2 linked regions of the Styela clava genome follow. The protein of the gene in region 1 purifies or fractionates together with the protein of each later gene. This does not show direct contact. Links are inferred from orthologs where the notes say so. Each region holds a gene or a part of one and is shown on either strand. Other genes may lie near its edges. The genes, in order: ribosome biogenesis protein BMS1 homolog and RNA 3'-terminal phosphate cyclase-like protein.

The links.
Region 2: the proteins of ribosome biogenesis protein BMS1 homolog (region 1) and RNA 3'-terminal phosphate cyclase-like protein purify together in Homo sapiens (co-immunoprecipitation; 4 studies listed by BioGRID and IntAct, with this or other methods). This does not show direct contact. The link is inferred for Styela clava from reciprocal best matches to the Homo sapiens genes BMS1 and RCL1.

The regions. Positions count from the first base shown.
Region 1 is NC_135264.1:2,033,340-2,050,625, reverse strand, and holds ribosome biogenesis protein BMS1 homolog, read right to left. Parts: upstream 7,772-17,286; 5' UTR 7,481-7,771; coding exon 4,130-7,480; 3' UTR 3,562-4,129; downstream 1-3,561. Other genes in the region: mitochondrial import inner membrane translocase subunit TIM44-like, read right to left, coding at 347-524, 1,191-1,298, 1,461-1,607, 2,224-2,343; zinc finger matrin-type protein 5-like, read right to left, coding at 2,949-3,476; uncharacterized protein LOC120334427, read right to left, coding at 13,557-13,636, 14,279-14,399, 15,931-16,027, 16,841-16,986. UniProt on the Homo sapiens protein: GTPase required for the synthesis of 40S ribosomal subunits and for processing of pre-ribosomal RNA (pre-rRNA) at sites A0, A1, and A2.
Region 2 is NC_135262.1:5,502,134-5,517,328, reverse strand, and holds RNA 3'-terminal phosphate cyclase-like protein, read left to right. Parts: upstream 1-13,523; 5' UTR 13,524-13,582; coding exon 13,583-14,695; downstream 14,696-15,195. Other genes in the region: uncharacterized protein LOC120332662, read left to right, coding at 1-68, 345-416, 896-976, 1,493-1,555, 1,658-1,732, 2,201-2,269, 2,517-2,570, 2,948-2,989 and 2 more; uncharacterized protein LOC120332205, read left to right, coding at 3,534-3,720, 3,951-3,988. UniProt on the Homo sapiens protein: As part of the small subunit (SSU) processome, it plays a role in 40S-ribosomal-subunit biogenesis in the early pre-rRNA processing steps at sites A0, A1 and A2 that are required for proper maturation of the 18S RNA.

The sequences.
Region 1 (17,286 bases):
TCCTATATATCTGTCTCAATTGAACAATAACATAACACCGGGCATTGCGACCAAGAGTCGTCCTAGTATCAGGTAAGCCACTGCTTGCCCGCTAAAAAACGCCGTGCAAAGGTGCCGGATAGACTTTTTTCGATTTAGGTACCTCATTTTAGTAATTCCCAATCTAGCCGCAAAACGATTCAAATAATTTGTGATTCGATTTTGAATATTCGGTTAGCTTGAACAGCCCTACTTGTCTGGCGCGTCGAAATTCCTAATTTTGAAATAAAAAGGTTTTAAATTATTTCCGAATTCAAATATTCATTATATTGTATTAAATTCCGACGAAATGAAAAGCATTATTTACCTGGTGGTCTATACAGTGAAGAAGGTGGAATTCCAGTTCCTTTTGTGATGTTATCGAAACCTGAGGCTACTTTTTTGAAAGCTTCACTATCTGTTGCAGATTTTGCAGCTTCACTGATTCCTTCTGACACCCGACTTGCTTGTTTGACAAATTCTGTTTTACTGATTTCTTCACTGGCCTATCAACAAATTTAAGAAATGACATGAAAACTAATGATCTCTGTTAGTGTCCAATTGTCTTTGAATTTGATTGAAGTACTGTTTATGGTTGATATAACAGCATTAGAAACGGTTCTAGGAAAATTCGCCGTAGGAAATCTTGCTGCAGAAAATTTCGCCACATAAGAAAAATCGTTGCATGAGCATTTGCTGTAAAACAAGTATTTGTGATAAAAGCAGTTAGGTTTTTGAAGTACCTTTTTATTAAAAAAAGATTCTTATTTAAGAGCATACCCTAACCCTATAAACTTAACTGTTTTAATCAGAAATACTTGTTTTACAGCAAAAAGCTTGAGATGATTTTTTATGCGCGTATTTTCCTATGGCGAGATTTCCCGCTGCGAAATTTCTCGCCGCAACTTTTCTGGACACACATTAAAACACGCCTCTCATTTATGCATGCAATAAGTTGGCTGAAATATTATTTACTTAACACCTAAGGCTGTGACTAAGACGTAAGGCTGTGGTCAGCTATAACGTTGGGAAATCTTTTTATATTTGCTGTCATATCCATAAAAAAATAACAATTATGATGACTTTTTTATAAATGCTTTAAAACAATTACTTAAAATTAATATTATTCACACATTTCGAATATTTTGTTGTTATTTTAAAATAAGAAGCACCTCAGATACTCTGCTTTTTATTTTTCCAAGTGTTTCACGAACGGCATCTGTACCTTGTCCAGTTTCTCGACTGATCTCCTCATATTTTTGTCTTGCTTTTTTAAGTGCCTGTAAAATTACATTAAAAAATAGATGTCATTGGTACATTATTATTGAAGACATTCTTCTACGCAGAAGATATATATCAAAGAGATGGAAAACCGGTAATTAGGATTAGATATGGTGCAATAAAATCTGAACTAGGTATTATAGCACACAGGAAACTTTTACCTCTGAATCTTCAAGTTCTTGTGCTTCCTTTCGAAATTTTTTAATACTCTCTTTTAATTCTGCGTCTTTGTTATATTCTTGTTTAAGATTATCTAAAAAATTTTCAAGAAAACCTCGTTTCGGTGAATTGAATTGCACTGATGATACCTGAAAAAGAAATTTGAAGCATTGAACTTTTATAATGTATTTCTGAAGGTATTAATTTTTTTTTATTATTTTTATTTCAGAATAGATGTATTATTTCAGTATCGACCAATATATTATATGCACGTATGAAGAGGAAAATATTTAGTTACAAACTTACAAGTATCTAAATCAGGGGTTCTCAACCTGGGGTTCGCGAACCCCCAGGGGTTCACGAGAAGATTTCCAGGGGTACTTGGACGGCAGTCAGAGTTTTTGTGTGTTGCTGTTTTTTAATACCCTTTATTACTATCAGAGGAAAATGCGTGTCGATTGAAACTAGATGCCAATTGGAACATAGATTTTCCCTGATGTTGCGTTGTTGTGATTTTGAATGAAACAAATTTGGTTTTTAGACAAATTCTACACGAAATAATTCACTAAATCAAAATTTATCAACGTTGAAGAGCTGATATATCTTGAAAAGGCCAGTTTATTCAAGTTTGACATGAAACTACCCAATGGATGTGGGCTGCTAGGCACAGTATTAGAATCAAAGATTTTTAATCGGTCACACCAACATAGTAGAGTTCAACACCATGAACTTGAATTTACAATAGCAATACTGAAATGAACTTACAGCAAGTGTTCTTGACACTGGTCTTAAAACATTCCTTGAATTAATTTTTGTTTCGACCGTACATGCTGTTAAAACAGGTATCGCACATCTTTGAAAAGTTCCTCTAGCGGCACCCCACATTGTGCTGCTTTATTTTAATTTTATATTACAAAATGAACTTTGACAAATACCTGGGCAATAAATATAATCATAGATGAGTTCTCTGTCCTGATTTCATATATACCATTGATCGAAACAATAATTTATAGGTGCTCCCGTAGTATGTGTACCAGGTTAGGGTAAGGCCATAACCTTCCGAATTTTATTCCGAATTTTCCTTATTTTAAGTTTATTACGAGTTCAGGGACTGTCTCTGTTAGCCAAGTGAATATACCATAACCCCTGCCCATAGGTTTCAGTCCCTTCACACAACCTGATGTAAAGTAGGCGAACAAAATTAGTTACCTCCATATTGGTACACACACTTCTGGAGCACCAATTTATGTCCAAATTTAAGATGATTCCAGTTTTTTCAAGTTAGAACGCTGATTCACAGTTTCTCACCAATGTAATTTATATTGCCTTGAAATCGCAAAGAATCCAATGCCTTAATAATAATTCTTAATTGAGCATCAATTCACCGCCAGCACAGATACCACTTTTTGTCTACTCTGTTTTACAATTCATGCAAGCCTTACAAAGGACCAATGATCAACATGAAATCCATGTCAAAAGGCCCAATCATATCATCCCCATTCAACCTCATTAAGTCGTGGCCAACCATCTTCTGGAGGTGGTTGCATCGACAAAGGAAGAAAGGGCAACTGCTTCAAAGAATCTGGGAGTACAGTTGATGTTTGAGGGATGTCAGGGATTTTCCGCTCAGAGACCGCAGCACCACCAGTTTTCTCAAGCTTTTCTTTGCTGATTTGTTTTTGTTTGTTTAAAGAAAGCCAGTTTTTGACAGTTCTATTGCTCATTTCATCTTTTTTTGATTCTTCATTAATTTCTTTCTTTATTCTCTCTATTTCGACATCGCTAATATGACGGTATCGGCAACTAGACCCAAATTGGCAATTCCCTGAATTCTGGTAATATTTGCATATTCGTGGCTTTGCAAGTTCGTCATTCAGCTTTTGTTGCTTAGTTTTGAATTTGTCATAATAGGCCTTCCGCAACTGTTGATGCGTACTGCTCACAACATGCTTCTTTCTCGCATTCAGATTGTCTAAAAATGCCCGATCGCAGAATTCACAGTAATAACGTCTTCCCATGTTTGTAATATTCACAAAACAACTTCAGTCTTCATGCCAATCAGTACTCAAATGTTAATTTAATGTGCCTGAAATTAGGTAATCATCTAGGCAAAGAAAATAATAAGACACTTAGTGAAATAGGACTGTTCCTATCCAGAGGAGGGAGAAAGACATACATGAAAGCACAATTTAGCATTAGTCTATGATGGCATCAATAATTACAATACCATTTCAAATACAGTAGTATGCAAATAACCTTAGTTTTGACACAAATACATGTCTTTTAAACAAGATGCAGTACGAGAAAAAAATGACATGTAAGCTACCTGACAGTAGACTGTTTGTTTATTCAATTAACATTATTCGAAAAATTTAGCTAAGAAACACAAATAAATCCCCTAAAAGTATTTTCAAAGAATATGCAAGAATAGAAACACTGCCTTTCATGCAATATCTCTCTTTTCAAAAAATTACTATGGATCAATCAACATAACACTGGCTGCCTTAGTGGAAAATACAATTGGATGATATTAATAAATGTAAAAGAAAATTGTTTCTATTTGGTATCTATTTAGTTAATGCCCTTATAAGTCGAAAATTCTGAATAGCTTTCATGCTTTAATTTAGCATATAAGATACAATGAGAAGCTCTTCAAGTGTAACTAAATTTCCTATCTTTTCTTCTTCTGTTTTTGATTCAGCATTGCGTAAGCTTTCCTTTTTGCTTCTTTATGTTTCCATTTATTTTTGATTTCCTCTTTTTCTAACATTTCTCTGTGCTTGAGATATTTGACCCTCTTCTCTTGTTTGGTCTTTTTCTTTTTGTCATGATCAAGCGCACGCAATGCTGTCATAAGTTCGACTATTTTTCTATCTTTCGGTTCTCTGACAATCGCAACTTTCATCATTCCTTCTTGTCTGCTTTCTATTTTTTCTCTTCGTAACTTCGGTCTTACTTTATATGGTAATTCTTTTTGTAATTTTTTGGGTATTACAACAGGATTGAAAACCCTAGTTTCTCTTTCGATTGGTCTATAAAGGGAGTCTTCGTTCGGTTGTAATTTCTGATCTTTTTCATGACGCAGTTGTCCGACAGTTTTCATTGCACTCCAACTATCTTTGTCGGGCAACATTAAATTTGCACAATTCAAAAAAAATTTTGGAACATCAACTGGACACCAGGTACGACAGAACACTATGTCACTCATCAATATACGATCTTCGAAAGATGCTCGGAAAGATCCGGCTTCGGATCCTCCGCTATTGTTCGGGCCATCAGTAACCGCTCTTTTTATCTGTCCTCGTATGCCGCTGACAGTTCGAATGGCTGCTCCCTCAAATTTAGCAACTTCAAGAGATGAGTTGAACATTCCTTTCACAAAACAGGTATTTTTAAATATCTTATATGGATAACCAATAAGCTTCAATTTTTTAACCAATTTTGTACTTTTATCAGATTCTAAAATAGTCCCAGAGGCAGTGATTCTAAAATTAGGAACGTCTCTATTTGCAAGAGCTTGGATTGCTAAGAATCCTGTACCTTGTGGGCAAAGAGGACCCCACATTACAGCCCAACAATGCATATTTTGTGGTGTATATTTAAGATATCTCTGTCTCAAATTGTGATCTTCCATATAATACATCGGCAAAGATTGAAATCTTCTCCAACCCATAGAAAATATCATTGGATTACGTGTTTTCAAAATTTTCGGATACCAGCGATGTTTTTTAACTCGAACTCTGATAAAGCCTGTTTGAATTTCAGTTGCCAACAAACCACCTGCTATAACTGGGTATGTTGGATTGAAATATTTTACAAACTCACAAGGAATATCGTGCAGTTCAATGCGAACATACATTCCGGGTCTGTAGCCTTCATATTGTACTCTAGTTGCGTCATCCATATCCTCAAATTCAGCACGGTTCAATTTCGCTTGTTCAGCCAGTTCAGTTTTGACAGAGTCGAAAAGGCTTCCACTTGCGGTTGTTACTTCACCATTTTCTTGGCTGACGTCATATTCCCGATCGAATATTTCTTTCATTTTTCGTTTTCTGGCAAGACGTTTTTCTCTCAATCTAGCTTCACGGTCATCGGGTTTCTTAATTCTAACTGTATCAACATCATCAGAATCACTTTCATTATCTTTAGCTCCAGATGTGAAAGATTGTCCTGTTTCCAAATCTTCAAAATCACCATACAAATTTTCATCCTCTTGTAATAAGTGAGAGGCGTCTTCATCTTGATTCCAATCACCAGTGACAAAACAATCACTGATACTTTGGCGTATATCTTCACTATTTTCATCCCCATGTTGTCGCCGCAAAGTTATGTTGCAGTCTTTATTGTCTTTCGTATTTTTCTTTGCTTTCATATTCCGTTTGACGACAAATAAATCACCAGCGACTTTTTCATCTTCCTCGGACTCAGAAGTGTCTGATTTGATTTCAATTTTACCATAAACCAACTTTGGAAGATTTTTCATCATTTTCTGCCTGTGAATATACAAATTTTGAGCTTTCAATTTCAAATTTTCTTTCCATTTCAGTTTACTTTCAGAAATGCCATTTGGTTCTTCTATTCCATTTTCAGATTCGTTACAACTTTCATCATCGGAATCTCCACTTTGATAACCTTCCTCATCATCGTCTGATGTAGAATCTTGCTGTTCACCATCTTTCATAGAAAAAACTGCTCTTCTCCTAACACGATTTGTTTCAACATCAAATGTTTTTTCTTCCATAGGCATTTCAATCATACTTTCTGCTTCGTTGTTCGTAATTGGTTTCATTCCCTCCAGAAGTGAAAATTGACTCTTTTCCATTTTATGATCAATAGTTTGTTTTGATAATGTCATTGTTCCAATCATTGAATCATCTACTATTTCGTTATCAATAGTTTCTATTTCACCGACTTGTCCATTATTCCTTTGTGTCGAGCTTTGCACATCAATATAAACAGCATCCTTATCATAAATAATTCCACCAACTCCAGACATAGGAGCATAAATAAGTCTTTCTTTTACATCCAGAGTACGCCTTTGTCTTTTTTCTCCCTTTTCGGGCAAAGGGCACGGGTCCGGAAGAAATGAGATATTTTTAATAATTTGATCCCCGACACCAGGAATATGAATTGATGAAAGATTTTTTAGTGGCATTCCACGGACGTAACCATACAATGATATATTCCGATTACAAATAGAATCTTGTCGAATTTTTTCAGGATCGGTTAGGTCTTCCATTCTATCAGTTAATAAATATGAATGTGTTGATCTCCATATCAAAGGTCTGAACTTCATTACGCTGATAAATCGACATAAATTATGAATTTCCATTTTTTGATATTCACCATAGACCATTCTGCTTAAATAAAACAACTTGGCACCTTGGTATATTTCAGTCCAAAATCTATGTTTTAATAATTTTTTTGTTTTCTTTATTTTCTTCGCATTGTCAATTGCATCCAAATGAGTCAAAACACCCATTATTTTTGGCATACCATGCACTTGGCAGATGTTCAAAAATTCAAAAGTTTCCATTTCAAATCCAAATCCTGCATCAACAAGTAAAAGTACCAAGTCCGCAATTTTTGCAATATCAATCATAGCACTAATGTCGTTCGGACATTCGATAATTGTGAGTCTACGATTTTTACCAGATACGACTGTGACTGGTCCTTGAATATTAGTCAGTTTTTGCTTTGTATAATTCTTTATAATACATTGTAACAAAGTCGTTTTACCAACCTTTGGTGGACCAACTATAGCAACAACGACAGGTGGTGGCACCTGTGGGGTTCTATCAACGACAGGTATATGATGTTTTTTCGTTTTGATGTCTTGTGCCCGATGAAACGACTTGGCTAATTTGTTAACACTTTGGATTGCATACGCTTTTGGGTTTTTCTTTTTAGTAGTTGCATCCTCTCTGCTGTTGTCTTCCTTCAGTTTCCTTTTTTCTGCTTTCCTGCCAGCTTTTCTTACTTTGTGTTGTTTTGATGGTTTATTATCTACATCCACATCCATAATGTATTATTTTCTAAAAATATATATGTATTGTTTAAACTCAATACTTTCAAAGGGATGAACGATGCAAAGTAATTGAATTCAAACGGATTCGATTACGGTTGTGGCCACTGTAAAATATTTTCAATAATTTGAGTACACAATTTATTGATTATCGGTATGTCTTGTACATGCACAAAGCTGAAAATAGTAGAATCAGTATTCGCATCAGTGTTGGCCCAATTCTTTTGCATGCCAGCATGCTTCCTGCAGTTAGACAATGTAGTTTGGGGACAATACCAAATAAAATATATAAGACATATTGGTCCCCTGGCTTTATTTCAAGCAGGCGTTTCGGTATCATGTCAGAATGTTAAACATTGGAAGCTTGGACTAGCATATTTCAATTTATTTCAGTATTTGAAGTGCATAATGAAGCATTAAAAAGAAAAATTACAAAATGCCTAGTTTAGTAGTCAACATCTCAGTATTTTATTGGGCCAAAATATAAGTTGATGGCAACAATCGGGCCATGTTTGCAAGTACTTCTAGAGGACGTGGCACAAACATTAGGTATAGCATATTATGGTATTCCTAACACAACGTCATTCAAAATTTATGTCCCTGAGACATCACAGTAACGTAATAACGTAACGACTCACTAACGTCAGTGATCTCTCTTTTATCGGTATCGTTTCACAAGAAAACGAAAGAAATAGACTGCTCGATTTCGGATGATTGTCTGGCGACCATCCGTATACTTTGGAGGCCGTATTACGTCACTGCGACTTCGCAGCGATGTAATTTTCGGATGACATAGTCAGGTGGGGGTTATGAATGGTCATTCCTGAGCCAGGCCAACTAGAAGTAGGGTGGCTTAGCCACTTTGCTTAAGCCATTTAACGAACCACGCGACATTTCTCACGCGTCATCGTCCACTAGTAGCTCAGCAAAATTACACTAAAATACGGGCACAAACAAAAAAGCTACGACCGAAAACCCGACCGGAGGAAAAAAAACGGACCATTTTATCATGTTCCAACTACCCATTGTCTCCATGAAAATCCATACATATCTAAGAGATAAACAGATGAAACTTGGCAGGTGGGTAGAGTTGTGTTTCTTTTAACCATCTTTAAAGTTTCGCGTTTCTACATTTAAAGGAGGGGGGAATAGGGGGGTGCGCATGTCCAATACGCCGATAATATCTTTGTCGACCAATTTGCGACCACCGCCAGACAGTGTTTTTGTCTGTTTGATTGCTGTGATGCGTTGCTTTGTTTATAATTTGACGAGTTTTGTCAGAAATAACTGTGTTCTTAAAATATGACAGTCAGAAATGCAATTATAAGCCCAATTTTTTCCCGCATGGCTGCGTATGCTCTAGTCTTGACACAGCAGAAACGATGTTCAAGGCTTGAAATACGTGGTCGCACACTGGTCGTTCGATCACAAATTTGTCTTCCGAGTGTCGTACTTTGGTGGTTTGTATAGCTTGAACCCCTCGTCATAGGGAGTTATTTCGAAGTTTAGCGTGTAGAATAAATGCCAATGCACCTACTGTGAAAAAATTAACAGGTTAGAAATATTGGTTTTTGTTTTATAACGATTTGAATTTAATTGTCCACAGACTGGCTCCACCACCCTACTTGCGGCGTGTACTTAAGGAGACCCCCGGATTTTCGGGTTCTATTTAGTTTCGTACCTGACTGCCCGAGGTACTTCTAGTGGGCGTACGCGTACCGGTAGCATAACAACTTTAGCATCTATGTCAATCCTGACTGCGTCATCCAAAAATTACGGTACGTCACTACAGCACTACGGTTGGGATGCGGACAACTCGACTACACGGACAACTCACCAGAGACAACTCGACTACAGAGAGGCCTGGTGAGTTGTCCGTCTTTTCACATTTTCTACGGCGGTGTTTTAGGTATATAGAAATGCGTTTTTGATATTTTTAGTGCTTAAATGTTGATTCGATCAAGCTATTTATCTCGTTTTCTCCAAGCAGCGATCCCGATATAAGAGATCGCTGCCGTTAGTGAGTTCTTTATCATCGACGCAGATGCCACTTTCAGACTTCAGGCGATCGGAGATATACTTTGGCAAGCTCTACTGCTCTATGACGTGATTGTGACATGATTTTTGGATGGCGTAGTCAGGTGGGGGTTAGGATTGTCCTGTAGAAAAATTGTTGTGCTACCGGTACGCCCACTAGAAGTTTTTGTTTAGGTACCGTACTTAACTACCCGAGACCCGGATTTTCTACATTCAGACATTTTGAACAAATATGATACCGGTAACCCAGTACCGGTAACCCATTTTATATACTAGTCCCACATCCAGACATAGTACGCTTTATTATTGTTTCAACTTATGGGCAGACCTACGCACTTCACTACTTACGGTACTAGACTACCGCTACCAACGTCTGAAGGTTGAATCTGTTAAATGAAAGATCAAACAATGCGATACTGGCGGTAGCGCAAATCTGCAGATAGAGAACCTAAACACTTTCGAGAAAACTTGCAACATGCTGTATAACCAATGTTGCCAGGTTTTTTGTTTCGGCTGTCGTAATTCTTCGCTTGGAAAGGTCCGGTCCGGTAGGTAATTGCCAGATTTGGCGAATTCTAGTGATATTGGCGTTTGGCCAAATGCAAATAAGTAAATGTATGTGTTTTTTTCGATTTTCCGTTACAACAAAACAATACATGGCAAAACAAACAAATAAACGAGAAATCAGGAAAGTAGGCGAAATCTAAAAAGGATTTCAGACGTGCTGATGCACGTGCCCCCTTACCCCAAACATACGGGCTTTGACACCAAACAGCAAACAACACAATTGGAATAAATTTAAAAAAAAATACACAAAAGATAATTCGGGCGTAAATACTTTGGTGTGGATGCGGAGTTTGAACATGGACTGCAGTTAAGGTAAGGTAAAAGGTTTATTGGCGTCTTTTACAACCGGATCTTTTGCGCCAAATAACAAAGAGAGTAGTCAGTATGGTACAATAAAATAGGTACACAGCTCTCGTTTGGTGGATATAGCAAAACTAATAATAAATTGAATCAAATCAGGAACATTGAAAATACGAATACTTTCCCAGGGCACATTCATTTTTGCTGCTTCACGTCTTAATTCGCATCGTAAGTTATTATACCTGGGACAATATAAAATGGGAAACAGTTCATTTGTATCACATCGAATACAGTGCCCTGTGGAATGTAGCCCTATTTCAAATAAATGATAGTTGAGTCTGATATGTCCAGTTTGAAGACGAAAAAATACTATTTCTTTTTGGCGGGAAAAATTGAAATAGACAGTCTTTTGGGCTATATGAGTTCGAAAGTTCTTATAATGGCTTGCAGTATCGTTAGCTTGGTATGGTAAATTTCATTTTGCAAGACATGCTTGCTTGCACAATGTCTTAGCTTCTTTCAATGACCGTTGAAAAACAGCATTGATGACAATTCCATTTGCTACGTCTTTCGCCAGTCGATCCACTGCATCATTACGCTAATACCAATATGTGCTGGTTGGTATCCACAGAAACTTGATATCAGTCGTGTGACAAATAATAGAATGAAGTAGTTGTATTTTTGTCGATAAAAAATGCTTAACATTCCAAATTTTCTGTATGCTTTCCAATGCAGAAAGACAATCGCACAATATTAATACTTTTGAAGGCCTATTTTGTGATATCCATATCAAACTTCGCTATATATATGGCAGTTTCTACTATATATATCTGTATAGGTAACGAGAAGTGTTAAATACAACAAACAAGCGGTGCGCGATTGGTGATGATTTATGTGATTACAAACGCACATGCACTCAACTAATAGTCTACTGGACATAAACAATAATAATAAAAGCAGCGTAAAAGTAAACAACAACAAACGAAGCAAAATATGACAAGAGAATTTCACGCTCTGGCGTTCCAACTTCAGTTTCAGTCAAAATCCATGTGTATTGCGTAAGCAGTCTTTTTTGGAATTCATCGTGAAATATCCGTTACATCTGACGTTTGGCAGTTCATGTTATCCTCCGCTTCGACCAGTTTTTCGTGATAAACTCCATGCAGGTCAGCGTGATCTGATGCAAACTCACCCATATCGTATCGGTAATGTATCCGACTAGTTTATGTTGTGTTTGCATTGATTCTTACATGATAAAAAAAAATTATCTGAATCTACTTGATTCCTAGAACATATTGTAATTTATTATTTTTCCTGATAATTGTTTTTATGAGTGCCCGTGCACAGAATTCACCAGTAGGCTATCGTTTAGATTTAAGTTTGTATTTATCTTCTCAGGAGGATCTGTGTTAGTCCGGTTTTTCAAGTTTTCGTCCAAAAATTTCTTACTTATACTTATATACTCCAGTATTCCACCGTTTAACACCATGTCAGCGTTCGACGGCGGTCTGATCAGTTTCAAGGGATGAATAGCATGCGTCAGCAAGGCCAGATGATGTGGCTGCATAACGCATTGCTAGATTTTAAGATACAAATTACCACGATGCATTTATACAATTGTTTAGTATTGTTACTTTAATATTTTCGACGAAGCAGATAGCAATAAGCCCAATACCACAAATATCAAATGTTAATTACTAGAACGATGCGCTCAAAATACTTTACTTTTACGAATTTCTACATTTTACGCGTTGTTAACAAAGACCTTATAGCGGACTTCCAAGGTGGCCCAGTCTCAACACGCGCCGAAGTTCTAGGGCAGGGGTCGGCAACCTACGGCCCGCGGAGTAAAATCATCCGGCACGCGATGCTTTACTGAAATTTAGCGACAAAACGCTCGTGGAGCAGATTATATTGAACACGGTGTGGACATATGAATCGTTTTCTTAAAATGTTGTTGTCTGCTTGATTTCTAAAAAAAGTATCTACTTGAAGGAAATTTGTATTCAAATTTGGCAAACAATGCCAGGTGACCAGAGTGTCACCTGGTGTCGAAAAGCTATCAAGCGTAATGCAACAACAAGTATCACAATAAATGTCATTTTTAAAATTTTTTGCCAAGTAAGACGACTTGAGTCCACGAGTGGCAGTGTTCGCTTGCTATTTTAGGTCTAAAATTTTAACTTACTGATCTGTGTAAAAAATGTGGTTCATCAACCACCCGTTTGGTTTTAAACTCACTTAAAAAAAATATGTGCGACCACAAAGATTTGCAACCTTTAGTTTTGGCCCGCGAGCGACAATAGGTTGCCGATCCCTGTTCAAGGGCAGCACCCTCGCACTTTATAGGTGACGTAGAACTCAAAACAGTTAGGAACAGTTTGACTTGGAACAATGGTAACTCGACTTAGTAATATAAAGTTTTTTAAATTTATCGGGGCACGAGATTTGACTCGTTACTTGAGAACTTTCACCCAAAACCATGAAGTATGCTTCCATTTTGCCCCCAGAACAGGGGTCGGCAAACCACGGCCCGCGGAGCAATATAATCCGGCCCGCGACGCTTCACTGAATTATAGTAACAAAGCAGCTGTTTTGACGATTATATTCTTTACGTAGAACAGATTATAACGCAACAAGTATAAAATTCCCAATTACTCGTTTATTAATGAGCCTATAATTCTATCTACCATAATTAGACAAATGGCAACAAAACGCAGAAAAGTTCATTCAGTTTTTAAGCGGCTCGCGTAACGGTTTATTACGACCCGCCGAACTTAAGTGAAATAATTCAACACTCTCTCTATCTTTAGATATCCCCAATTTTGACCTCATTACCACAATTTAAGCACGTGTATAATCGTAACAATTCAATTATATTGGTATCTTGATAATACGTACCGACAGAAGCATCTGCCCCTTGCCGGCGCGCAAATATCGTCCCGCTTCTAATTTTGGCCCCCGGTAAATTACCTTTAAGAACCACTGTCTTGACTAATACTGTAGCAGGAAAAAATAAAATACAATTTCAATTTATGGTGGCGCCATTCATTTATTATTATTTTTTTTTTTTTGAATCTGCAATATCTTTGTAAAACAATAAAAAAACTAAAGTATAAAATTAAAACGAGTTGTCTGTTTCTCGGTCTGTCCGTCAAGAAACTCCATTTTAATGATCTGATAACCGTAGCTCGCCGGAGTCTGCAATTTCTTCAAGTTCATGCTCAGCCACGAATTGCTTGAATTCCTCTGAAATAGAAGTGAAAGGACGTTAATAGTGTATGTTATAGGAGAAAGTCACAAATTGAATCGGCTGTTTTGAACAAAATCTTGTCAAGTCCAGTAAAATCAGAAAATAGATCAATCAGGCCAGTGGTTTTCAAACGGTGGCGCGCGTAGACAATTTTTTGAAGGCGTGAAGCTAACTGAAAATGAAAATATTCATCAGATTTCATCTTGCCGGCCTTCTTTACATTTCAAAACTTTTCATTTTTTCATTATTTACGTTCCATCCACGTATTTCTAACGCGTTTTTTAAATAAAACATACTTTCGCCTAACTATCTGTTATTTGTTGCTTATTGTTAGCTATTTTTTTTTTTGGAGGTGGGGCGCGAGACTTGACAAATTCTGAAAAAGGGACGTGCAATTGCTATTTATTCAATTTAAAGTTGCTTCGCGCAATCCAGTGATATGCGCAACATTCTAGGTTAAGGGTTCAGATAGAGCTAAAAGTATGGTCAGACTCGTGAACTTACAATGTGTGAAATACTGTGACTTGACTAAATATCGAATAGGAGAATTTTGGCCTATTTCCAAACGTTATAACACCCTACATATCAGTTCTTTCGTATCCAGTGCAAACACTCTACCGTCAAATTAAACAAATTACCGTCAGGCATGCTGGCAAGTTCGTCCAACATTTCCACCATGAACTGAGCTTCACCATCTCCAGATTCTGCCGCAATTTCATCAGCGATCATGGACATTGCTTTCATATAGGCTTCTTCGTCCTAAACAAAGAGAAAGTTGTGCTGAAATTTGGAAGCTACAAAAGTAACCAATGTCAACGGTTATGGCGTTGTGCTTGGCGTTAGGAACACGTTGCTATTTGATCTTTTGATTACTCTATGCGAGAGTGCAGGTTGAAATTCAGCGGGTATAATTATGTGCGACAGGATTGCTGTACTCCTTGGCGTCGTGGGTTTTTTGCATAACAGTTGGGGCTTCCTTAACTATCAAGTACACGTTTCTAAGACGAATACCCAGTTAATCATATTAACATTGACTCGTAAATATGGGCAATACTCAAGAGTTGCCATTCAATACTCTGCTTTATCAGTTAATAGCAAATAGTTCACGCCAGGTAAGATTGTTTCAATAATATTTCGTCACGGGCATTCGCGGCAAAGCGAAGAATTTTTACGACATTTGCAATGTAAATGGAAAACGTAAACATTTGATCTTCATACGACACGTATTCGCGACTTTTGCCCCTGCACAAGTATCACTTATATCTCTAGAATTTAAACTCGAGATTTGTAACCTGTGATGCTAAAACGGTCAAGTCTTAACACTTTAACTCTCTGACAGCTGTTGACCCAATTTATTTGACATGGTCTTTTTAAAGTTATTTTTTTTGTCAACCACTAAGCCCTAAAGCTTCTCTTATGGATTTTTAAAGGCGTGTGCTAGAGTTCTATTCAGCAATATATCTTTAAATTACACTCCGAAAAAAAAATTTTTTTGCAAAAATATCTCAAAAATTTCTAAAAATAAATTAGACTTTTAGAAATTCTGTGTACAGTAGAGGGTTAATAATTAATTCCTAATTAATTAATTTTTTTTTCAACGTTTTCGTCAAGTTTTTCCTAACACAACATCACCGAAACGCCTATTATAGCATAAATGGTTATTACTCTGAAATTCACAATTGTATCTACAGGTGTATCAAGTTCAAGGCTAAAATTACTGATTTTGATGACGTCACAGCTCTTATTATTACTGCACAGACCACCCCCAACGCAAAAAAATTAAATTTTTTCGACGGAAATGCGCGTAGAACGGCGTAAACAATCCCATACGCGCATTTACGCGTTAAAATTACCATTAATTTTACGTTTTTTTTAACTACAAAAAATCTCCATACTTCTGCCAACTATGGAGCAGTCAAAATCATATTTATCAAAACAACACAGCGCCAGGGATGGTCAGGGATAGTATATATGTCTGAAAATACATGCTAAACCAACAATAAGTCATTATAAAGGAGTATTTCCTGTCTGAGCTGAGTCGACATTTTCAGACGTCTGACAGGCGATTTTGAAATCCACGCTATTTATAGAATTCGCACGATGCGTCACGGCTGGAAGGTTCCATCGCTTCTCTCATATCAGGCGATAAAGTCAACAAAGAGCTAAGAGCGATATTAACAGTAGTTTACCGAGCACAAAATTAAGCGTAAATATTCTCTCATATGAGCTTAGCCGCTGGAAAAGGGTTAATAAACGCTAGCTTTATGTCAAACAGATTATAGTGGATTACCTTTTCTCTCAGCTCTCTCAGCTCATTGATTTCTTCTTTGTTGTTCCATACAGTTGTAAGATATTTTTTGACCGCTTCTATTGCAATGTGGCCCCCGCTATAAAAGTAAAGTGTCGTAAGTATTCAAATAAATGAAGAGTATAATATATAGAAGAATATAATAATCGTCGTTTCAATTTTTTTAATTAGACTCCCTGCACCGCAAAAACTAAGCATCAGAGAAAATTGATATTCGAATTTTATATCGCACTGGAGAAAGTGTTTCTTATTTTTACCACGGACACACCGAAAACTTAACCTCAAAATAAATTTGTTCTTTTTATTGTTTAAATCGGGTGGGCAAATTGTGGCATCGGGCCGTATCCGGCCTGTCGAAGTGTTTCATCCGTCCCATTAAGAATATAGTTTTATTCATATAATTTTCCGTGAAAAATATCAATGAAAATAAATTGAGCTTGAAAATAAGTTGAACGTCACTTGCTACTTAACTTGGACGTCACTTGCAACTTAAAAAAGTAAATTCTTGCCAATGAACTTAAAATTTTTATTTTAATGTTAAGAATACACAAAAAACACTATTAGTCTAGTACATTTGAGGTGTGTGACATGCGAAGAATTCGCGATGGGGTACTCCCGCTGTATGTGTACCAGATTATAATAGTTAGGCCATAGTTTTATTCTAATTTTTACTTATTTTAGTTCTATTACGAGTTCGGGGACTGTCTTTATTAGCCAAGTGAATATCCCCCAGTCCATAGGTTTTAGTCCCATTACGCAACTTGATGTAAAATAGGCGATCAAAAGTAGTTACCTTCATATTGGTACACACACTTCTGGAGCGCTCGCAAAGACAATAAACTGTTCAGTGTAATAAATTAAATATTTATAGGATCAATGTAAAGAAACTTACGTAGTTCCTCTAATACGTTTGTAGGCCTTCACAACCCTCTTAACTATCCTTCCTACTCGTCGAAAAATTCTCCTCCAGCCCCGAGACTCCTCCACCAGTAGGAGAGAGAATGCGACAAAAAGAATAGCTGCAACTTTCAGACGCATTTTCTTTGAAGATTTTCTTTATTCTGAAACCTATGATGTAAACAAATTAATACACAGATTGTTTGATGACAGGTTCGAACCCAAAGTCAGTAAAACATAGATAATTAAATAGATCGCATAGTTAATTTCAGTCTCGCCGTCGTTAGATGACTTTGGTTCGCATCCCAATCACCATAGCTATTTGACAAAAGAATATAAATAAATACCTCGTTGCTTTCAAACAGTTGGTCTTTGCTCTTCGGCGTGTTGTGTTATCCTGCCCTCCACAGCGTGGATTTATATTTTCTACGTGCATATTCA
Region 2 (15,195 bases), on another chromosome or scaffold:
CTAAAAGAAGAGCATACGATCCTTTTTACGATGAACCGATATGCAAAGTGCGCCCACAATACACAATGGTATTCAGTGTTTTGAATTTTCGTTTCTTGATTGACGGTCATGATAAGTAGACATTCGTACGAACGTTGCGTTAGGCGCAATTTTAACAGCATTTAACTCAATAGAAACAATATTGCGAATGGAAATTAGTAAGATCAGACGTTCATTGACTAAAAGTAAGGAATATTCATGATACGACAATTCCAAAATTAAACACAGGAGAATTATCTGGTTATTCTTCACTATAACTTAAGCATAGCTGAGTTTATAATTCTTGTGATTGTAATTTCACACAGGGAAAGAAAAATGAAGTCAACAAAGCAGAATTTTCTTCCAATGGCAACTCGCGTTCTTTACCCAACAACAAGGTATTAAATAACGATGAATCCTCTTCTATAGTCCGAGCCAAAATGCAAAACCTTTGAGACTTACCGCAACGTTTAAAATTCTTTTATTGCTGGTAAATGTAGACTGTATAGATAGATTATAGAAAGTTGGTATACCCCAGTATGTAACCTATGATGATATATTTATCCAAGGCGCTCCAGAAGTATGTGTACCAATATGAAACTAATTTTGTTCGCCTACTTCACATTAAGTTGTGTAGAAGAACTGAAACCTATTCGCAGGGGGTATACTCACTTGGCTAACACAGAAAGTCCCGAACTCGTAATAGAACTAAACTAAGGAGGATCGGAAAAAAAATATGGCTTAACCCTAACCTGGTACACATACTACACAAGTATCATTGTTATGAAACATTTACATTCTTGGTAACGTTCCAGTCATTTAATCGTGCAATCATCCGACAAAGTTTCTATCACTCATGATCGTATTTTACCTCTAGATAACTGACGACAAAGCTCCGATAGAAACTCCATTTCCAATTGAAGATTCTAACAATACTTTGCTGACTGGCAAAGCTAACGTAAAATTTGTTCTCGATATTTCAATTCATATTCATATAATGTAGAATAGGCTGAAGTCATTCACGATTTACCTTAGTGATTGAGTCGACTCGAGACGAAGATGACCTGACTCGGGGTTTAGGACCCATTACTGGTCCCGTAAGACGAAGACTGAAATATAGCTAACTACGGTTTTCCTACGGCAATTGGTCGTGGATGAGTATGGGATTAGGTGCAGTAGCGCTCCAGAAATGTGTGTATCAATATGGAGGTAACTAATTTTGTTCGCGTATTTTACATCAAGTTGTGTAAAGGGACTGATTACTATGGGCAGGGGTATAATCACTTGGCTAACAGATACAGCCCCCGAAATCGTAATAGAACTAAAATAAAGAAAATCGGAATAAAATTATGGCCTAACCTTAACCTGTTACACACACTACGGGAGTACTTGTACGGTAGTAAAATAAACTAGATCCAATGGTTATTGCATGGTATACATAAATCCTTATGCAAAACCATACTCGTATTTTTAGAACGTCGAAGACAACCTCAATGTGGAAATGTCTTCCAAGGAAATATCACAAATGGAAAAAGAGGTAAAATTGTACAAGTTTTCAATAATGAACCATTACCGTCCCAAAATCGCTTAATTTTTAATTTATTTAATCTCAATAATCTCGTTCATGAATTACTTTCAGGTAGAAGAGAACAAATCTCCATTGCCATCGGCATCTCCAATTGGCGATACTGATGAGCTTGCCAGTGCTACAAATGTGAGTTTTTCTCCGTATTCGAAATGCTGGACTTATTAAAAAGAGAGCGATTGAGTAATAACAATAGACAAAAGCCATAATTTAAATTTTATGCCTGTTTCAGATAGAGATGCATCTGCAACAATATGTGTAAACGTGCCGCCAATATCAATTGGTAAAATATTACGAAATTGCCTTTGCGTTCTTGGCATTTTGACTGAGCCCTGTTGGCAACTGTAGCACTTAAAACTAGTGCAGATTTGGGATTTTTTACAAAAAGCATAAGCGCGGCAGCTATAAACTCACTCACAAATTGTGTTTTGCCTGACTTTGCATTACTTAGTATTCAGTTTTTTGTGATGTTTATTTTCGTAATTCCGAACACTGTATAGCCTTGGTAGACATTTCAATTTTAAACCTAAATTGCACGCAACACATTTTGCCTGAGCAGGATTTCTTAGTACGAGTATTGCATTTTGATTATTCTAGGAATCTCACGATGAGAAAGTAGAAGAGAAAAAAATTAACGACACTCATCAAGATGATGAGAAATCAAAGGTAATATGTTTGTTAAGTTTTATAAACAAATTGACGAGAAAAGTGAGCAATTGACGAAAATTAACCCCTTACTTTTTGAAAACTCAGAATAGTTATCTTGATTCTTGCTACAGCATCCTGGCATTATATGCACACGGATCCACATGAGGGATAAATAGTTGGTCCCACAGAAACCCAACAGATAGCACAGGTAAAAATTTACAGTTTTTAAATGCTCACATAAACATATTTTTATTGTTGTTTTCAGTCCAATGAGGAAAGTCAAAAACTGGGCGATGAAGATTGCGAAGATGATTACGAAGTAAATATTGAATTAACACTTTCATAAAAATCAGGATATGATTCTATGTAACATATGGTAGGATGTGGGATACCCAGGCGAATCATTACGTTTGCTTTACCAACCTGTCGCAGTGTACAAAATTTGAAGTTACAAAAGTTATCGGAGTCTAAATAGCGCTGTTGGCATAATCAAATGAAATTGAAAACAAACGATTCCCCGACAAAGTTATTCTAACTCCAGATTTAAACGTTGCAACTACTGCGAAAAAAGTATATCTGCGCTTCGAAGTCACATAAACGGAAATACGTACTTGTCCAAAAACTTATAAAGCCATATATTATATTATATAAGCTGAATTTATGAAATCTTAATAACTATACTTTTTGTCAACCCAGGATGATTTTGACAGCGATACTGACGAATCAAGTAAATCATCTGTAAGTTTATATTTGTTTGTTTCATTCCAAATAAATTTCTAGCAATTCTCTGATATTGTCAGTGTAATGTAATTCAGTGAATGTAGAGTATTACTATTAATAATACTCGACAAAAACATTATTTTTGATTTCCAGAATGAATTGCCAAGCGATGATGAACTCTCACCAAGTGCAGAGGTATGTTTCAATTTATATTTGTTATTTGAAACTATTTGTATAGCACAATTGTGACTGCATATACTGCGGTCGTGAATTGCGACACATATGTTTATCATGTCAAGAATTATAAGGGAGGTGGATGGCTGAAATTTTTGGAAATAAAATATAATATCAGATATATATTGGAAGTTGAACCGGCGAATTAACTGATAGTTTAAAACTGCTTAGCGATGGTTTAATGCTATGTTTGGACGAGACACCAAAAAGCCCCTCAAACGCGGAATTCAATACTGTAAACTCTGTCGCGTCACGGCGATTTAACATCTTTAGATCTTTCGCAATAAATTAATAACGACAATTGTTAACGAATATATATTTTTTTAAGGATGTTGAAATCACAAAGATGGCGAAATATATCAAACCAAACAATGCTTTTCCTGGAAAGTCCTGTCTTGCTCTTGTACCTTCCAGTGGTCGAAACAACGAGATCAAAAAGGCAGTCAGTTTCAGGGAGGCTCTAGAAGACATTCGTTACTATAAAATAGACGATTGCCCTTCTAAAGCAGGGAAAGGTAATACATATTTCTTACGCGTATCCGCACCTATTATAAATTTTATTGACGTAAAACAATTAAACAATACTTTTACAATTTTTGTCTGCTCACTTTCCGGTTTAATACAGTCGTAATGTGCTTTTTGCGTCAGATTAAACAGCCGTTGTGATGTCATAGTAAAAATACAGTTATCAACGGTATTTTATAATAAATAATCCACTTTTACATCAAATTCTCTATTTATTTAGGTTATTTCATGAGTCCTTTCCGTTTGCAAGAACTGTAACAAAGAAAACATAGACGAGGATTTAAAATGCAATTTAAATTTTGCGGCAGATTTTTTAAATAAAGGAAGAATTACTGAAAATTATATTCTTAATTGTAATTTTTAGTGAAATTGTATTGAATTTATTGATATCAAATAAAATATCTATTTAGTAGAAAGATTTTCTCGTTTTTAAACAGGGCTGTAAAGCTCTGGCTATTTTTTATGGTGGAATAATGATCACTTTAAAAAGTTGTTTATTTAACTTTATTACTGTTATGCGCAACCACCTTTTCATATTGGTTGCATCAAATTGTGCTCTTTTAAGGTATTTGAAGTTACGGTGAAATGATATTCAAACATATAACGACTGACGATGTTTAACAGTATTACAGTTACGGTGAAATGCTATTTAAACATTTAATAATAAACGTTTTTAACAGTATCTTTGTTAAAAGCGTCGGTCGTTAAATGAATCAGGTACCATTTCAGCGTAACTTCAAAACTGTTAAAAACTGAAACGGTCGTCAGATCAATTCGAATTATTTCATTAAACACCGAGGCGCCAAAGTTCGACTATGGCAATTTCTTTGGTGTCCCCTTTCTCTTGATGCCATTAGGCTAAGCACATGCTTAATGGGTGATTCAGCCCATGATACAATTTCCTTCTCGTCATATTGGCGAAAATGAAGAAATTTTTTGTTGTGAAAAAGGAATGACATTCTGATGGCTTTTATTTACCTCAAATTAAACGGATCCGATTGAGTTCGATGGGTTCAACAAATCTGCAGTCAATTGTTTATTTTTTTGCCATACTGGAAATACAAAACAAAAACTAGAAACACACATAAAATGTCATTTCACGGTGAAGGGACCCGCTCAAAGTTCGCAGAAAATTTAGGTCTATAGTTTTGGGCAGATAGAGAGGCTGATAAAGAGTATTACCTATTCCCCATATTTGGAGTCGGGATCCCAAAAATTCACGATTCATAAATTTTGTCCCATTTTTCTAGTCCCGATCAGGGAATACCATTTATGAAAATCCTGGTATTTCAATAAGGTATTTTTGCGGTGGTTATGCTGATTTTGGAATATTTTTTATTTGGTTTATTTTTTGATATATGATTTAACTTTCCGTTTTACTACTGTTGTGTTCAACTTTTGCTGTGCATTTATCTCTGTACTTCCACTACGCTATCCCCAAGTAAATGATAACATTTTCCCGATTTAAAAGAAGGATGCCAAACAATACGACCTAATCCGACACCACCCAAATGTAACAATGCGCGGCAATTAAGCAAGCGAGATAACGATAAATAATGTAAAAGATAAAATAAATAAATAAAAAAAGATTGTAAAGATGATCTAAGACAAGTCATAGGTTCTCAAAGTGCTCCGTACGGAGCCCCGGGGCTCCGCGAGCTATTCGATTTCTTTTCAAAATACTGACTTGGCTAATTTTGTAACTGTTCAAAGAAGCAATAACAGCTTTGATAATATTCGACACAATATAGCCTCGAAATATGGCAAAGAGGCGGAATTAAAAAATGACATTATTTATGAGCTGGAGCGCAGCCAGGCTTCTTAAGAGACGATGGGGATGAAATCGGAAATTTTCGCGCAACATTCTTCACGATCAAAAAGAAAAACGGATTAAGTTGCGTAAAATATTCAATCCATGACCGATGCGAGCATTTAACGTGTCTCGTCGTTATAATGTAATTGTGCTCATCGTTACTCCCGTTTCATTCGAGATTACTATTAAGATTACTAAAATAAAAGGTTTTACTATTCTAAAATAACATAAAATACTTGATAACATGCCAACTATAAATAAATTGGGTCGTATTTTTGCGATCTTGGGATTTGTCAAACTTGATTTGTTCTTTCGCACTCGAGATTATTTTCAAGCAAGATATCGCCGTTTAAAAAATCACAAGGTGTCGGCAAAATACGAACGATTGAAATTAATTTATTGCATGCAGCTCCGTCGGTAGTTTCAGAATGAAAAAAAGGTGCATCGCACGCACAATTTAATGTGTTTCGATTTCACAGTTACTACGATGAATAACCAAAGAAAACCTAACATAACACTGAATTTTGTGATTTCCAATGCCTATAAAAGCGTTTTTAATCTGACGTGAGACTGCTGAAACCAAACTTATAGTGTGATCTTCCATTTTAAGTTTTAATATTTCAGAATGTCGTTTTTCAATCAAAAAATGAGTTGCGGTTTTTCTTTATTAATTATTATTTTTAGCATTTCGTCGCCGATGACTATAATATTTTTCACATTGAACTCATAATTCCCCACGAGAAAAAAAAAGCAATTATCGTCGTCATTGGGGAACAATACAAGTAGGCTATGTGCCGACAGAAATTTTTGATTTAGGGAGAATAAACACCGCCGCAAAGATGTTTAAAAACATGCCATGTTGACGAAAACAATCAGCGATTGTAACAAAATACATTCGCGCACATTATCAGCGTCATTTTGAGTCTTCCGAAAATGTCAAAAGGGAAAAGATTCGATCCTCAATTTATTAATATGTTTGTCAAGTGTCAAATTTACAGCTTTAGTATACATAATTTATCTTCGAAATTTAGATTTATTTATCACTTGTATTAACTCTATGGACCTTTCCCCGAGCATTTACTTCCTTGTTTATTTCGTGACATTGGCTAATCAGCAAGATACAAAAAGTGACGTAACAATGCTCCCTTTTCGCATCCGCTCAGACACTATTCTCACTCAGACAGATTTTCAAGCGCGGTTGTAAACATTACCTCGTTTTCGCGTTTTTGAACTCTATTCGTTAGTTTTCTGTTGTGTTTCGGAAACTTAAATATGAATCAGATATTGCAATGATCAATCTGTCTTCCTCGGAGTTTTAATTTAATTGCAGTAATAAAAAATTAATGTAGAAATAGCTGTGATAGACTAGGCTAAAATTCTTTACCGGTACTTTTAAAAAACAGATTGTTGTATGCGATGAATCATATTGATGGTTTGTAACATATACCTCATTTTACAGGCGTCAACTCGCAAAAGCACTCTTAAAATAACCCCGAAAATTTTGCAATGGTAAAGTATGGGAGAAATTTTTCAGGGGTCAAAGGTCGGGGAAAGGTCCATTGAGAAAGGTTATTGAGTACTTTCACCTTTACTCAGGAATATTAATGGGAAAGTAACAATTTCAACATTTCTTTTGGGGCTCCGTAAATAATAGTTAACCTTTCCAAGGGCTCCGCAACACTAAAAGTTTGAGAACCCCTGATCTAAGTGACTCTAGATCAGGGGTTCTCAAACTTTTGGTGTTACGGAGCCCCTGAACAGGATGACTATTATTCACGGATCCCCATAATAAATTTTAAAATTGTTACTTACCAATTAATATTCCTTAGTTAGTTAAAATTACTTTACTCAATTTCAATGCTAAACTTTTTTAATAGGGTTAATACAAGCCATGAATAAATCTAAATTTCACAGATAAATTATATATCATGGCTGTAAATTTGACACTTGACAAACATATTAATAAATTCGAGGTCGAACCTCCCTTCTGATATTTTTGAAAACTGAAAAATCGATAATAACGTTCGCGATCACATCTTGATAAAACCACCGATTATTTTCGTCAGTTTGATATGTTTTTTAGTAAACATTTGCACGTCGGTGTTTATTCTCCTTTAATCACAAAATTTTTTTCGGCATATGCATAAATTGTTCCACGAAGAAGACGATAATTTCTTTTTGTTTTGTGTGGAATTATAAGTTCAGTGTGAAAAACAAGTTAGTATATTATATGTCATCGGCGACGATATGCCAAGAATATTTAATAGAGGGGTGTATTCGCAACCCAAATTTCTCGAATGAAAAGCGGCATTATATAATAATAAAACTGAAACTTAAAACAGCTAACACCATAAGTTTTGTTTTAGCAGACTCGTGACAGATTGAAAAAGCTTTTTAAGACAATGTTAATAACAAAATTTGGTGTTATTTTAGGTTTTCTTTGGGAACTATACGGTAGTAACAGAAATCGAAACATAGTCAATTGTGCGCGCGATATAGGTTACTTTTATCCATTCTGAAACTACCGACTGAGCCGCATGCGACTTTTTCTCGATATGTGACGATATATAAGATAATTATTGTGAAGTATATCAATCAATTTTTTTTATTGCACTAAAATAAATTTTAATCGTCCGTATTTTGTCCAGATCTTGTGATTTTCCAAAAGGGTGATATATATCTTTGAAAGAATCTGAGTGGCAGACATGCGATAGGGCGGAGTCAGCGTTATAGGAACGGCTCACATTTGTCGAAATCTCTGAATTGCTGAAATCTGTTATTTTAGAATAATATTCTTTAATTTTAGTAATCGTAATAGTAATATAGACGCAAAGACGAGTAGCGATGAACACAATCAAATTATCGTGCTCGCGTCGGCCATAGATTGATATTTTACGCGACAGAAAACTCGTTATCTGCTGGAAAGGTATTTTTTTAACGAGTGGCCTAATCGCGAAGAATGTTGCGCAAGAATTTCCGATTCCAATTTTGAACACCCACCTCCCTCTCTTTAAAATCCTGGCTTGCTCCTGCTTGTGGATAATGTAATATTTGAATTACGGCCTTGCGATATTTCGACGCCAATGTTGTCACATTTTATTAATGCCGTTATTGCGTCTTTGGACAGTTACAAAAGTAGCCAGGTAATCGAATAGCCCGCGGAGCCCTTAGGTTTTTCTCACGGAGCCCTGGGGCTCCGTACGGAGCACTTTGAGAACCTATGCTCTAGATCATAGGTTCTCAAAGTGCTCCGTACGGAGCCCCAGGGCTCCGCGAGAGGAACCCGGGGGCTCCGCGAGCTATTCGATTACTTTTCAAAATACTGACTAATTTTGTAACTGTTTAAAGAAGCAATAACAGCTTTGATAAAATCTGACAACAATATGGCCTCGAAATATGGCAAAGAGGCTGAATTAAAAAATGACATTATTTATAAGCAGGAGCGCAGCCAGGATTCTTAAGAGGGAGGTGGTTCAAAATTGGAATCGGAAATTACCGCGCAACATTCTTCGCGATTAAAAAAAACGTATAACGAGATTTCTGTTGTGTGAAATATTCAATCCATGACCAATGCGAGCATTTAACGTGTCTCGTCGTTATAATGTAATTGTGCTCATCGTTACTCACGTTTGATTCGAGATTACTATTAGGATTACTAAAATGGAAGAATATTATTCTGAAATAACATAAAATATGTGATAAACTGCCAACTATCAATAAATTGGAGTCGTATTTTTGCGATATTGGGATTTGTCAAACTTGATTTGTTCTTTCGCACTTGAGATTATTTTTAAGCAAGATATCGCCCTTTAAAAAAACACAATGTCTGGGCAAAATACGAACAATTGAAATTTATTTTATTGCATTCGGCTCCGTCGGTAGTTTCAGAATGAAAAAAGGTACATCGCGGATTGCGCGCACAATTGATTGCGTGCGGCTCCGTCGGTAGTTTCAAAAAGGGAAAAAAAGGTAGGCCTACATCGCGCGCACAATTGACTTGTGTTTCGATTTCGCAGTTACTACAATGAAAACCTAACATAACACCAAATTCTGTGATTTGCAATGTCTATAAAAGCGTTTTCAATCCTAGGTGAGTCTGCTGAAACCAAACGTGTGATCTTCCATTTTAAGTTTTAGTTTTAATATTTCAGAATGCCGCTTTTTAATCAAGAAATTTGAGTTGCAGATTTATCTCTTTATTAATTATTATTTTTAGCATTTCGTCGCCGATGACTATAATATGGTAACATGTTTTTCACATTGAACTCATAATTCCCCACGAGAACACAAAAGCCATTAACGTCGTCATTGTGTAACAATACATGTATATGCAGAAAGAAATTTGAATCAGGGAGAATAAACACCGGCGTGAAGATGTTTAAAGGTTCAAAAACACGCCATGCTGAGGAAAAATCGGCGATTGTAACAAAATGCAATCGCGCACATTATTAGCGGCCTTTTAAGTCTTCCAAACATGTCAAAAGGGAAAAGATTCGACCATGTTTGTCAAGTGTCAAATTTACAGCTTTAGTATATATAATTTATGTTTGAAATTTAGATTTTTTTATGACTTGTATTAACCGTTTCAAAAAAGGTTCAGCATTTAAATTGAGTAAAGTACTTTTAACTTGCTCAGGAATATTAATCCGAAAGAAACAATTTTAACATTTATTTCGGGGCTCCGTGAATAATAGTTAACCTTTTCAAGGGCTCCGCAACACCAAAAGTTTGAGAACCCCTGCTCTAGATAAGTGTATTTCCGGTTCGCTCACATTTGAACCCACGTACATTTGAACCCGTAATTTGAACCCACGACAATTGCACCTGCATACTATTGCACCTATGGAAATGTTTTTTTTGCGGATATTTGAACCCATACTAACCCTAACCTATGGATTTTATAACCCTCATATAGATTGATCCCGCGGATATACGGGCGCAAATGTATGGGTTCAAATGTACGGTCACCGTATTTCCCAATGACGATGCCAACAGTGAGACGTGAAGTTAAAACCATGGTTTATGAATGCACGTGTCTTGATCAACGCAGCCTGTTAATTGTCGAAGTAAATAGCAGAGGGTTGCCAAGCGTGACGTTGCTAATTAATTAAGGTTTTGATCCCTCACATCTTCGTCAGAAGCTGTGGCGCAAAGGAAGCGTGTAGGTACGGTAAAGCACCAAGGCTGGGTTCGAACCCTGCAGGAGGTACAAGTCCCCAAGCCAGAATGAATAAAAATAGATGAGGTAGATCAAAACAAAATAGAGAAAGTGAACAGGGCCCTACGACAAAATAGAAAATAAAAACAGAAACAGAAGGAAAAATACGGATGGCAGTAAGAGAGGTATAGAAATAAAGGAGGGCAGGCAGGGAGCAACGAAGGGCCGCGGACAAAAAGACGAGACGAACAGGCGAAGAAGGTGAGCAAGACCAAGAAGGCCGGGCGCAGGAGAGGGTGAAAAGAAAGGATCAGAAAGGGATCGAAGAAAAAGCCCAATGAGCAGCAGCAGAGAAACTGTAGGGAAAACGGTGGGCAGCATGATGGTGAAAAGAAAGGGAAACGGAAAGAAGAGAAACTGTAGGGAAAAACGGTGGGCAGCATGAGGGTGAAAAGAAAATGAACAAACAGGGATCGAAGAAAGGGGAAAGAAAGCAACGATGGGGCAGGAAGGAGGGTGAAAAGAAAAAGACTGATAAGAATAAGGATCCCAAAGAAAGGGAAAAAAGCCCCGATGAGCAGCCGCAGGGATACTTAGAGAAACTGTAGGGGAAAACGGTGGGCAACATGAGGATGAGAAGAAAACCGAATGGGCAGCAGAAACGGCGAAGGGGCTGTGAGAGAAGAACCCAAGAGGGAAAAAGCAAATTCAGCAAGGAAAAAAGGTGTACTGTGATGAGGGTGAAAAGAAAGACTGTGATGGCAGCAGCAGAGAAAAAAACTGTAGGGAAAAACGGTTGGCAGCATGTGAGGGTGTAAAAAAAAAAAAAGAAAGAGTGAGGGATTAGAAGAAAACCTAGAGGCTGAAAAATATGAAGAATTGGAAAGTGCGGACAAGAAGGCGGAACTCCTTCAGTAACCCCCAAAGAGGGATAGAAGAAAGAAAAAGCAGGATGCGATGCAGCAGGAAAAGGAAAAAAAGAAGGTAACAAATTAATAAATAAAATAAAATTCAGAGGTAAGATAGGATTAAGACAAAATAAGAAGGAAGGAATTAAAACAAGATAGCGCACCAAGAGTCGCGCATATCCTGAACTCCCTTACCTGGTACACAACCTGGTCCTCAAGAACAAATCAAATCCATCGAAGGATGGGATGGAAAGACCGATCGATGCTGCGGTCCAGAAGGCATTGCGATCGACAGGCGAAGAAGGTGAGTAAAAAATGGAACCAAGACGGGCCAGAGCGCAGACACGCAGTACACGTAAGTAGATAGAAAATACACGCAGTACACGTAAGTAGATAGAAAATACGAAATAAAGAAGAAAAATAGGGCAAAAAAAATAAATCCAGAGAAAACAGAAGTAAAAATAAAAAGACGTAGTCGGATCATAAAACGAACGAAGTTCGGTCACTTTTTTCCGTATTTATCCACCGAATTGTTGAATATAATCCCCGATTTCAAAATTCCTAATCTACTCCCGAAATCATTCCCATCATGGGGAGTTTCCAGCCATTTTTTTGGAATGCCAGCGCAACTCTTCGCGCACGGTCTAGACCCAGAGGTCCTTATTTTAATCCTAAACTATTATAAAATACAATTTCAACTTAGAACCTTCGACCACAGTGCCAGATACTCCCAAGAATAACGATTTGGATGGCAGTAGCTTTGCTTTCTCACACATGCCTGGCTAAAATTCCCACGCTGGTGGCGGTAGTGGACAGCGTCTTTCAAGGGCTTTCATATTATGTTCCTCTTTGTCAGTGTGTCGGGTCTCGTATGCTACAACATTTTAGTTCGTGGGGAATGTGATTATGATTATGAAGAAACCGAAATGGTTATTTTAGCTGTTTACATCGTTTGAAAGATGGTGTGTGTGTATATGACTAGTCTGAGTGTTGGAATGGGTAGAATATTGGTTTTGTTCTGCCAGTTTGCACTGTTTCTGTTTCAAGCTCTTTTTACGCATGAATCAGTTGCTCGCTATGCAGCTATACCGTACCTAGTCAATTTTGACCTTGAGAGCAAGCCTCTGTTATATATATCATACTGTACAACATATCGCCGGATGAGAACAGAAGGGGCCTCCTAAGTCACATTTTTGCAAAATTCACTTTTTTCAATATTTTGGGGTTTTGAGCCATGCTCTACAAGGTGGTGGTCTTGAAATCCTGAATTTCTCAATAATAAAAGTTTTAGCTGGACTTAGGACTGTAGAAGTTAAGAACAGAATGGACCTAAGTCCAGCTAAAATTTTTAATATTATGAAAATTGAGAATTTCAAGACCACCACCTTGTAGAGCATGGCTCAAAACCCCAAAATACTGAAAAAAGATAGTCCCAAGTTCCAATATGATGGGCATGAACATCAGAAATGAAATGTCCGAAACTTGCATCCCTAAAAATTTCTTCAGTGCAACGTAGGCCTAAGTCACCTTGTTTTACCTTGCATCCCATACAAAAAAATTCAGAAGTTGTTGAGAACAGAATGGGCCAAAGTCCATTATGGGGTTAAAAAAGCAGGAAGGAATTAAAGCTGAAGTGCCAAAAAATATTGATTACAAAGATATTGACATCTACATCAAAATACTCAGAGCTCAGGTTTTTACTAAGTGTGAATATCTAGAAAGTCGAAAATAAAAAAATTCCAAATTGTTTTTTGCGTTTTTCTCAAAACTCAAAATTGTGACTTAGGCCTGTTCTGTTCTCATCCGGCGATATATTGCTTTGATAGACAAGAATATTTTTAACTAGTAATATAATATGACAACTCCTGTATGGCAGTGTCAGTTCTGCATTGTATTCTTGGTTAATAGGGTACCTTTCTCTTTTTTTATTCTCAGAATTTACATTTCTAATCTGTTCACTAAACTGGTTTAAAATGTTAGAATATGTCGGAGCAAATTACTTGCGACAACGATTGGTTCTGTCAATTCTTAGTGGAAAACCTGTTCGTATTTCCTCGATCAGAGACAACAGCGAGAGTCCTGGTTTGAATGAATACGAAGCTAATCTTCTTAGATTTCTGGAAAAAATTACAAATGGAACCACAACGAAAATCAATGTCACTGGAACTACTTTAATCTTTAGGCCTGGATTGTTAATAGGTGGGGTGATAGATCATGATTGTAACCCTCAGCGTTCCATCAGTTACTTATTAGAGGTTATATTCTTCCTTGCACCATTTTGTAAAGAAAGGGTTAAAGCGACGCTTCGTGGAGTAACCAATGATTCATCTGATCCGACAGTTGATTTTTATAGATTGACAAGCTTACCAGTCATGCGAATGTTCGGAGTGCTTGATGACCTGGAACTCAAAGTTATTAAGCGAGGATTTGCCCCTGAAGGGGGAGGTGAGGTGTTTTTTCAATGTCCAAATCCAAGAAAATTAAGACCCCTTCAGTTTTTCGACCAAGGAAAAATAAAACGGATACGTGGTACTGCTTTTGCATCAAATGTTTCTCCACAAATTCCAAATCGTGTTATAGAATCATCAAGGTCTGTGTTAAATACTTATTTGCCTGATATTTATATTTATGCTGATCATTTGAAAGGAAATGCTGCTGGGAAATCTCCTGGATTTGGAATCGTACTAACCGCGGAAACCACAACAGGTGTTGTTTTAGCCGTGGAAAATTCATCAAATCCCAAAGGGCAGGGTGAACCTGTTATTCCTGAAGAATTAGGCACAAAAACTGCAAACGATTTGCTCGAAGAAATATTCAACGGAGGATGTGTGGACTCTGTAAATCAAGGACTAGCAGCTTTATTCATGGTTCTTTGCGAGCAAGATGTTTCTAAATTGATGGTTGGTTCTTTAACGGACTACACAATAGAATTGCTAAGACACATAAGAGATTTTTTCCAAGTAATGTTTAAACTTGAAACAAAAACGTTTGATCATGATGAAAAAGGGGGGAGGATGGGCGGTGATAAAGTTATAATGACTTGTGTTGGGATTGGATACTCTAATATCAGCAAAACTATGAGATAAACGAAATAAAATAATGAATGAATGATTTGGTGGTTGTAAGTAATGATACAAGTTATGGAGACTATATGTTATGAAGTTAATTATGGATATAAGCTATGGGGACCAAATAAATTAAAGATTCAATATTGTTTTTAGTGAATAATAATCATAATTTTTGACGTAGTTGTGTATTTGAGTCAATGAATTTCAAAATTTAAGATCGGGAGTCATGGAACTGATAAGTCAATTCAACCACTGCACAGTCAAATCGGTTTCTATAACTGAGTCAAGTTGAGTCCTTTCAATGGATAGACTCAAGTCATTATGAATATTGACTCACGTCTTACTAGTTGATTGTAATAAAATCTGATTGATCATTACGGAAGTTTTATTAAGAGCTACACAGTATCTTTTTTCAGCAGGCTTATTTAGTAATGCTTCAACTTTTGATTCTTTTTGGAACATTATAATTATAACTCAATAGAACCTTTTTTGTAATGATTTATTGCATACTGAATTAC